2 linked regions of the Caenorhabditis elegans genome follow. The protein of the gene in region 1 purifies or fractionates together with the protein of each later gene. This does not show direct contact. Each region holds a gene or a part of one and is shown in the gene's direction. Other genes may lie near its edges.

Region 1 (3,924 bases):
TAACACTGAAATGAATGTGGGTAGGATATCGATATCAAACAAAAAAAGTAATGAAGAGGGGACGAAACGAGACCATATGGAGCAGGAACTAAAGTTGATGGGAATAAAAAGTAAAACGAACGGGGAACACAAAAAAATAAATCAATTTCAAGATCACAGATCGTCGAAATTAGGCTTATGAGTTTTTAAAAGATGAAAACCATGCAGATAGTAGGAAAGAAATGGAGCCAAGTTTGAAATCCTAAAATAGTGAAGGAAAGTGACCAGAAAAAGTGTAAATTGGTGTGAAATTCAAGACTGTTGGCATTGAACGCCTTGTGGCCCGTGTCCATGTCCACCGAATCCACCGTGTCCTTCAAAGTCGTCGCGCTCAGCGAAATTCCTGCGAGATGCTTGTGGATCTAACTCGGTCAGCTCAACGACTTCCGCGTCTTCATCAATGATTTCTTCTCCTGAAAGAAAAATGATTAGTATTTCACACTGTAAACGCAATAAAACGAACTCTTTCCAGGCAGTAAATCGGCTAGCTTCTTCGCGGCATCTGGATTAATTTTATCGGGGAATTTCACATCGAACTGTACGAGAAGATCTCCTTTATCAGATGATGCTCGACGCATTGGCATTCCCTCGTTGTGGATCACTTTAACATCGGCATGAGCAATAACCTCTCCAGGAAGAACACGATAGAAAATTGTTCGACCATCAAGTGTACTGATTGTTCGCACAAATCCGCACAGAGCCTCGGAAAGATCGATATTGTGTTGAATAATCAGATTATCGCCTTTTCGGACGAATTTCTCGTGTTCAACCTCGTCGAGCACAACTACAAAGTCTCCAGGCTTCTCAATACCGATCACTTCGTCTCCTTTTCCTTCGAACACAAACTTCTCGCCATCTTTCATGCCAGGCGTGATTCCAACTTCAATAATTTCGTCTTCTTTCACCTGAAATCACTAATTATAGTTTCGAATTCGATTGGAGAAAAGTCAAACCTGCTTCTTTCCGTTACACTTTTTGCAGCGATCTTTTTCAAGGAATGTTGAGCCTTCTCCATTACAACTGTCGCAGTGAGATTGCATTTGTTGAACCATTGGTCCCATTCTGATAACACGAACCTTGATTCCACGTCCACGACAATCAGAGCACTCCTTAGCGGATCCCTCGTTGCCTCCAAGTCCCTTGCATCCTTTACAAGTGGCAGTTCTTGAGATTTTCAGCTTTTTCGTAACACCCTTGTACAGTGTGTCGAGTGTGACCCGTAAATTGTGAACCGTTGGTTTTACTCGACGTTCTCCACGACCACCACGACCACCGCCTCCGAAGAACATGTCGAATACGTCGAACGGATTGTGGAATCCCTCTCCGCCACCACCACCGCCTTGAAGTGCTTCTTCTCCACCCTGATCATAAATCTGACGTTTCTTCTCATCTGATAATACTTCGTATGCCTGCAATATGAGTAATTTCAACTTTGCAGCTGGATTTCGTAACAAACCTGGGAGATCTGCTTGAATTGCTCAGCTCCGTCTGGATTCTTGTCTGGATGGAATTTGAGCGCCATTTTACGGTAGGCCTTCTTCAACTCATTGTCTGAAGCATCCGGCTTTACTCCGAGAACGTCATAATATCCTGTTTCCTTCACCATTTTGATAAATACGAATCTGAAAAAGAAAATAATAATTTTTCTTCATTTATCGACGAATTTCGAGTGTCAGAATGAAAATTATACCAAAAAGCGAATTGTTTTGCGTAAATCCAACACGATAAAATCGATTTTGAAGTCAAAAATGGGGAAAGTCAAGAGATAAAGGGCGAAAAAGAGGAGAAAACGCGAAAACTGTTCTAACGATTTTTCGTGAACATTCTCGACACTTTTATCGGTGGAGCGCACTTGCAACTCACCAAGCGGGGACATTTTTGTCTCGTGGAAACTGATTCGTGAGAAATATTTTAAAAATGCACGATTATTTGTGGAAAACTAAAAAAAATCTTACATAGATTTTCATTCAAAACAACTATTATACAGGATAGCAATTGGGGAGATACTGTAATTTTAAAATCTTTTTAAAAATCTGTTTTTTTTTCATTCATGAATGAACTGCAGTTTTGATGTTTTTTCAAACGTATTCTTCAAAAACTCGAGAAATTAGCAAAAATTGAGGCTTTGTTCGAAATTTTCCGCAGCTTCCGTGATTCACACATTAAAAAAACTCCAATTTAAAATTCCCGCAAAAAAGTGGCATGGCCGTGACCGAGGTTTCACCTGAGCGGCTCCATTTTTTTCCTAGTCCATCTTGATTTTTTTCCGAATTTGGAATTTCAAGCTCAAAATTTGTTTGTAATATCAATGGAATTACACATTTGGCCGTCAGACTTCGGTCTCCCAACTATTGACGTTGTGTCTCTGCAGTTTTTGGTAAGATTTTGTGTCAACTTTGGTTAATTATCGTCATTTCTGTTCCAGGCGTGCTCTAAAATGTGTGCCAGCCCAGTAAGAGTCATCCAATCGACCCGTCCTTGGAGATCGCCGAGCGGTGAGCTCCCAATGGTCGCTCAAACCGAAGGAGAAGCAAAACCAGTGACAGATTTCGAAAAATTTGTGGATATTCTGAAAAAGTGCGGCCAAGACGTGGTTATCGATGCAGACTTGACCACTATTGAGAAAGCACAGTTGGACGCATTTTCCTGTTATTTACATCACAATTTGTATCCAGCAGTGGTAAGATTAAAGAAAAATTAAGCTGAAATAAATCAATTTTCCCTTCCAGATGCACACATTTTGGACGGACGAGCTCAATTACAATACAGTGACGCAATATTGGTACGCATCTCATCTGCATTTCCCCTACAATCTGTATTACCTCGAAAAGCGACGAAAGAAGGCATTGCGATTGTTGGCTGGAAAGAATGACACTGAAATTTTGAAAGAAGCATTCATGGCGTTGAATACTCTATCCACAAAGCTTGGCGATAATAAATTTTTCTGTGGAAATAAGCCGACGTCACTGGATGCCCTGGTATTCGGCTACCTTGCTCCACTGCTCCGAGTTCCACTGCCAAATGATCGTCTTCAAGTCCAGCTCTCAGCATGTCCGAATTTAGTGAGATTCGTGGAAACTGTGTCATCAATCTACCTGCCACTTGGCGAAGATGAGCTCAAAAGACAACAAGCGAATCGGAAAATGTGGCAATCTCGGATCTCGAAAGCAAAAGCAGACAAAGAAGCCGCGAAAACAACAGAAGAAGCGTCGGAATCACTTCCAGAAGAGCCTCCAATGCGGGATGCGATTCTCTTCACTCTCGGAGCTCTCACGTTGTCATTAGTGTTCGCAATTCATACCGGTCTGATTCAAGTGTCAGTCGAAGAGGAGATCTCTGAGTGAAAATTGTTGTATTTCTTTTTAAATTGTTCTTCTTTTTTTGCTTGCCCCCTACCTACTGCCACCCACGAGACGACAAAATCAGAAATTTTCTAGTCCCTCTACGTTCATCTGATTGCATTTTATTGGTTCATAGAACATTTTCTGGTAGATTTATTGGATCGTAAATATAATGAATGCTTTATTTCCGAAATTTAGCTTTTTGCGCTTTTTAGTTGGATTTGGACGGAAGCGAGGAAAAATTGAATCAGATATGAATTTCGAACTCAAAAAAGCAATTATCAATTTCTATACATTTAAGGAAGAAAGATCCTCAACAAGCTAGAACTATTGTTAATTTTAAAAAAAGTTAATTTTAATTACTATATATTTGAACAAAATGATAGGAAATTTTCAATTCCGGCAAATTGTCGGTTTGCCGGAACTTGTCAATTTCGGCAATTTATCGGTTTGCCGGAAATTTGAAATTCCGGCAAATTGCAAGTATGCCCGAAATTTTCAACTCCGGCAATTCGCCGATTTGCCGGACATTTTCCATTCCGGA
Region 2 (3,924 bases), on another chromosome or scaffold:
ATATCTTCAATGAGAATCCAGTCTGTAGACATCATTGCGAAAATTGCCTGAAATATTGGAGAATACTATTATTGAAGTCATGTGCAAAAGCTTACCAGAATAGCTGCAACGGTGTGGAAAGAGGCGGCTGGAATATTGGCATCACGAAAATCCATCCTAGTGCATAATGATCCAAGCTTGGAGAAAAACATTTTCTGGAAACGTCTAAATGGGACAAAGTAAGAGTTAAATAAGAAAGTAAAGAAAAGTTGACATAGAATTTTCTGTGACCCTGCCTCGGAATATTTATTCAATGTGCCTGCTGACGAAAAAAAAACACGAAAATGAAAAGAAGCAGCGAGCCCATCGAGCCCGAGGGAAATTGAGAAAAGAAAGAGAATCAATAGCGGCGGATGAGAGGGTGCAAACCCGAGGAAAAGGCAGCCCCACTCTCACTGCCACATCGCTTCGAGACCCTCGCTTCAAACTACGGTGAATATACTCTGCGTCTCTTAAGCATTGCTGGGCATGTTAAAATTCTTGCGCTTTAATAAGTTGTGTATGGTGACTGAGAATTTGTATATTTCAAAATTCTATTTGAATGGAAAGAGTTAATTGGAAGAAAAATGAAAAAAGAAATTGAAAATCAATTATTTTAAAAATAAAATATAAGTTCTAACACTACCAATTTCAAGTACACTGGCCTAACCAAACAAATGACCTTGGCGATTTTTTTTCAACATGAAATGCCCAGATACAAACACCATTTATCAATTGTACACTGGTTTCTAATGGTTTCTACTATTTTTTTAGTGCATTATCAATTTTTAAAAATTTCCGGTAAAGTGTACATATCAGGGGTGCGCGGCAATTTCGGCAAATCTACAAAATGAGCCAAAATGAGCAAAAAGTGATATATTTTATTAAATGTTAAAAATAAAATATAGAAAAACACTTTTTTTTTAATCTAAAAGTAATGTTTTATTTAATATGAAACAACTGTAAAAATGCTCAAAAATAGTATGCAAGTTGAAAATTGCCGGAAATTATTTTCCATAATTTGTGGGATATTTTTCCGGCTCTTATTAAATTAGAGACAATTTCTAAGCAGTTTTTTATTTTTATTTTTATGAATTATATTAAAGATGTTTTCAAATAAAGCAAACATTTTTCTGAAGTTTAAGGAAATATCTGGTACTATATGCTGCACTTTTGCTGCACTTTTTTGCGTACAAATGTTGATTTCTAAATTGAAAAGTTACACAGAACAGTAAAAATTCATGTTGCATAAAATTTTAGGACGTTTATGGCACTTCAAATATCTTTAAATTTGGCCACTTTTCCAAGTCGTAGTAATCCAAAGCTGCTATTTTAATACTATAATTTTTTCCTATCGGTTTTAAATGTATTTTAATTAACAAAATTACGGTACTTCTGTAGTGTTTACAATTCTGAAAAATTAACGTTACCCTTTTTGTCGATATTAGGCTTAGGACTAAAGTTTTTTTAAGCTTAAAAATACAACCAAATTCCGCGTTTTGATTAAATAATCACTTTTAAAAGTGTTGGAAAATTTTTATGGACCAGGTGTGCGATACGGAAAAATGGCCGAAATTGGAGATTTCACTTGAAATACGTTTTTTTTTCGAAATTTTCAACCGGCAAAAACTACTTTTTGAAAATTTTTAATGAAGTTTCATTATAAAATTCGTTTATTTGAGCTCATTTTGGGTTTATGCGTTCAAAATGTCCCAAACGTTTAATGCATCGGCAATTTCCCTTTGTTTCCCTGCCACACTCTTCCAATGCCTCCCCACACAGCCATTCTTCCCGTCGTCCCGTACGCACTTACAAAAGATACACAGACATCGATTGCTGGCGCGTTTCTCGTGCATGACGCGCAACTTAATCTTCGAACACTAAACAATATGTTTATTTCTTTTTCGATTGCACTCTCTTGATTATTTTGATTTTTTCTTGATTTATATAAAATTTCGTTGTAAAATTTATTACTTTTTAGGTAAATTATTCGCTGCTCGTCGCGGAAATGTTTCGTATTGCATCGGTGAGTTTTTTTTTCATTAAAAAAATGCAATTTTTAGTTTAAATGTATAATTTTTTCATTTCAGAAGCGATCAGTCAGCCAGACGTTGAAAAGAGCCCGTCAACAATCAAATCAAGCCGCTGCTCCACCGAAGCCACCAGTTCAACCACCAAAGTAAAACATACACCAAAATCGATAATAAAAACGCGTCGTATTTCAGAAAATCCGGAGGTGGCAAAGGATTGGCTCTTGTCGGAGCAACCGTTGTTGGAGCTGGTGGTGTTGTCGGATACGCGTATGTCGACCCTGAGTTCCGTCACAAAGTCGAATCCACTGTTCCGCCAGTGAAACAAGTTTTCGACGCAGTTTTGGGAGAATCTAGCTTGCAGTAAGCTTTATTTACTAAAAAAGTGACAGTCTTAACGATAATCCTTTTTCAGGAAGACAAAACAACAGATCGGTGACCTCAAGGATGCTGTAGTGAACGCTGTCCCAAAAAAGAAGGAAGTTCTTCCTCCATTGGAGCTCGCGCCACTGCCGCCTGTCCTTCCAAGAGAGCCCACACATGTTGACCCAGTGGATGTTCGCAAAGATGTGACCCCAATGATCCCAAAACCTTCTCCAGATGTCGTCTTTGCCAAGAACCAACGTAAGATTTTTTAAGCGTAATTTTCATAACAGTTTAAAGTTACAGAACTTGAGGAGAAGCTTAAAATCGCAATTCACTCTGCTGAAGGAAAAGTGCGTTTAGCCACTGAGGCCAAGCTGAAGACCATCAATGCGATCAATGAGCATGCCAGTATTCTCAAGCAAACCGTCGATGATGCTAAGCACGCCAACTGGGAAAACGTCACTTCTGCTCTTCAAAGAGCCGAAGCTGAGGCACGCGTCGACAGTGGCCAAGAGGTGGACGGGAGAAACTACATTGATAACCTTCGCAAGGTATCTTTTGGTACAGCCTAACACCCAAAAAAAAATTTATGTTTGAAATTTTGAACCGCAATGACACAAAATTTTTAAATTTTTTGAGAAACTTCATTGCGAAATTCTTTTAATGAGCACATTTTGGTCTTACACCTTCATAATAAAATACCCAGAGTCGTTAGACCATTGGAAACTAGGACTTGACTAAACCGGACTAAATCTGTCGTCCGGTCTGCGGAAGTTCGGCTATCTAGTGCCTGTTTTTGAACTGCTACACAAGTTATTATGTGACAGGTCCTATGATTTTTGTCTTGTTGCAATACTTCGACCCTGTTTTTTTTTCAAAATTTGTAAAAAGGACCTCTTCCAAGCTCATTTACGAAAAGGAATTAAATGCAACTGAAAATAGAGACGCTTGTTTAATATTTGATTAAATGCAAATTTTTAATAATAACTATTTATTTTTCTCAATTCGGACATTTACAGATTGTGAACGATGGAAAGCGAGATTCAACTACCGCCACAAATCCGCTACTTCTGAATGCTCAAGAGACTGCTAATAAGCTTTCTCATCAGCTTGATGAGATCAACGCATTGGTCAACAAGGTATTACATGCATTGGCACTTTTACCAAAAATTGTCAAAATTGTTTTCAGTCTCGTCAAGAATCTGCAGTCCTCAATCAGTACAAGGATTTGATTGAGAAGTCTCGTCAACAGTTTGCTCTTGAGATGAAGAGCATCTTGCCAAATGTTGATATTCACGCTAAAGTGAGTGACGAAAAAAATAGAAGGAATGGAGTCCATCCTCGGTTTTTTATAAAATAATGAATTTCTGTAATAGGCTCAAATGAGCCTATGATTTTGCTAAGGTGCATTTATGAAATTTTTGTAGTCAAAAGCAAAAATTATATTTATAGTTGATATGTACTCTCGGTAAAGTCAGAAGAATACAACATACCTTTAGTACAAATAGTT

The links.
Region 2: the proteins of mtx-1 (region 1) and immt-1 fractionate together in Caenorhabditis elegans (co-fractionation; one large-scale study listed by BioGRID). This does not show direct contact.

What each region holds. Positions count from the first base shown.
Region 1 is NC_003279.8:14,754,800-14,758,723, reverse strand, and holds mtx-1 (Metaxin-1 homolog), read left to right. Parts: upstream 1-2,311; 5' UTR 2,312-2,347; coding exon 2,348-2,416; intron 2,417-2,464; coding exon 2,465-2,719; intron 2,720-2,768; coding exon 2,769-3,383; 3' UTR 3,384-3,570; downstream 3,571-3,924. Other genes in the region: dnj-12 (DNaJ domain (prokaryotic heat shock protein)), read right to left, coding at 292-452, 503-944, 993-1,448, 1,496-1,645.
Region 2 is NC_003284.9:2,685,260-2,689,183, reverse strand, and holds the start of immt-1 (MICOS complex subunit MIC60-1), read left to right. Parts: upstream 1-1,999; 5' UTR 2,000-2,026; coding exon 2,027-2,044; exon of another isoform or gene 2,045-2,108; coding exon 2,109-2,197; intron 2,198-2,243; coding exon 2,244-2,411; intron 2,412-2,463; coding exon 2,464-2,672; intron 2,673-2,717; coding exon 2,718-2,965; intron 2,966-3,433; coding exon 3,434-3,553; intron 3,554-3,603; coding exon 3,604-3,717; intron 3,718-3,924. Other genes in the region: T14G11.1 (Membrane-associated protein), read right to left, coding at 1-47, 96-191.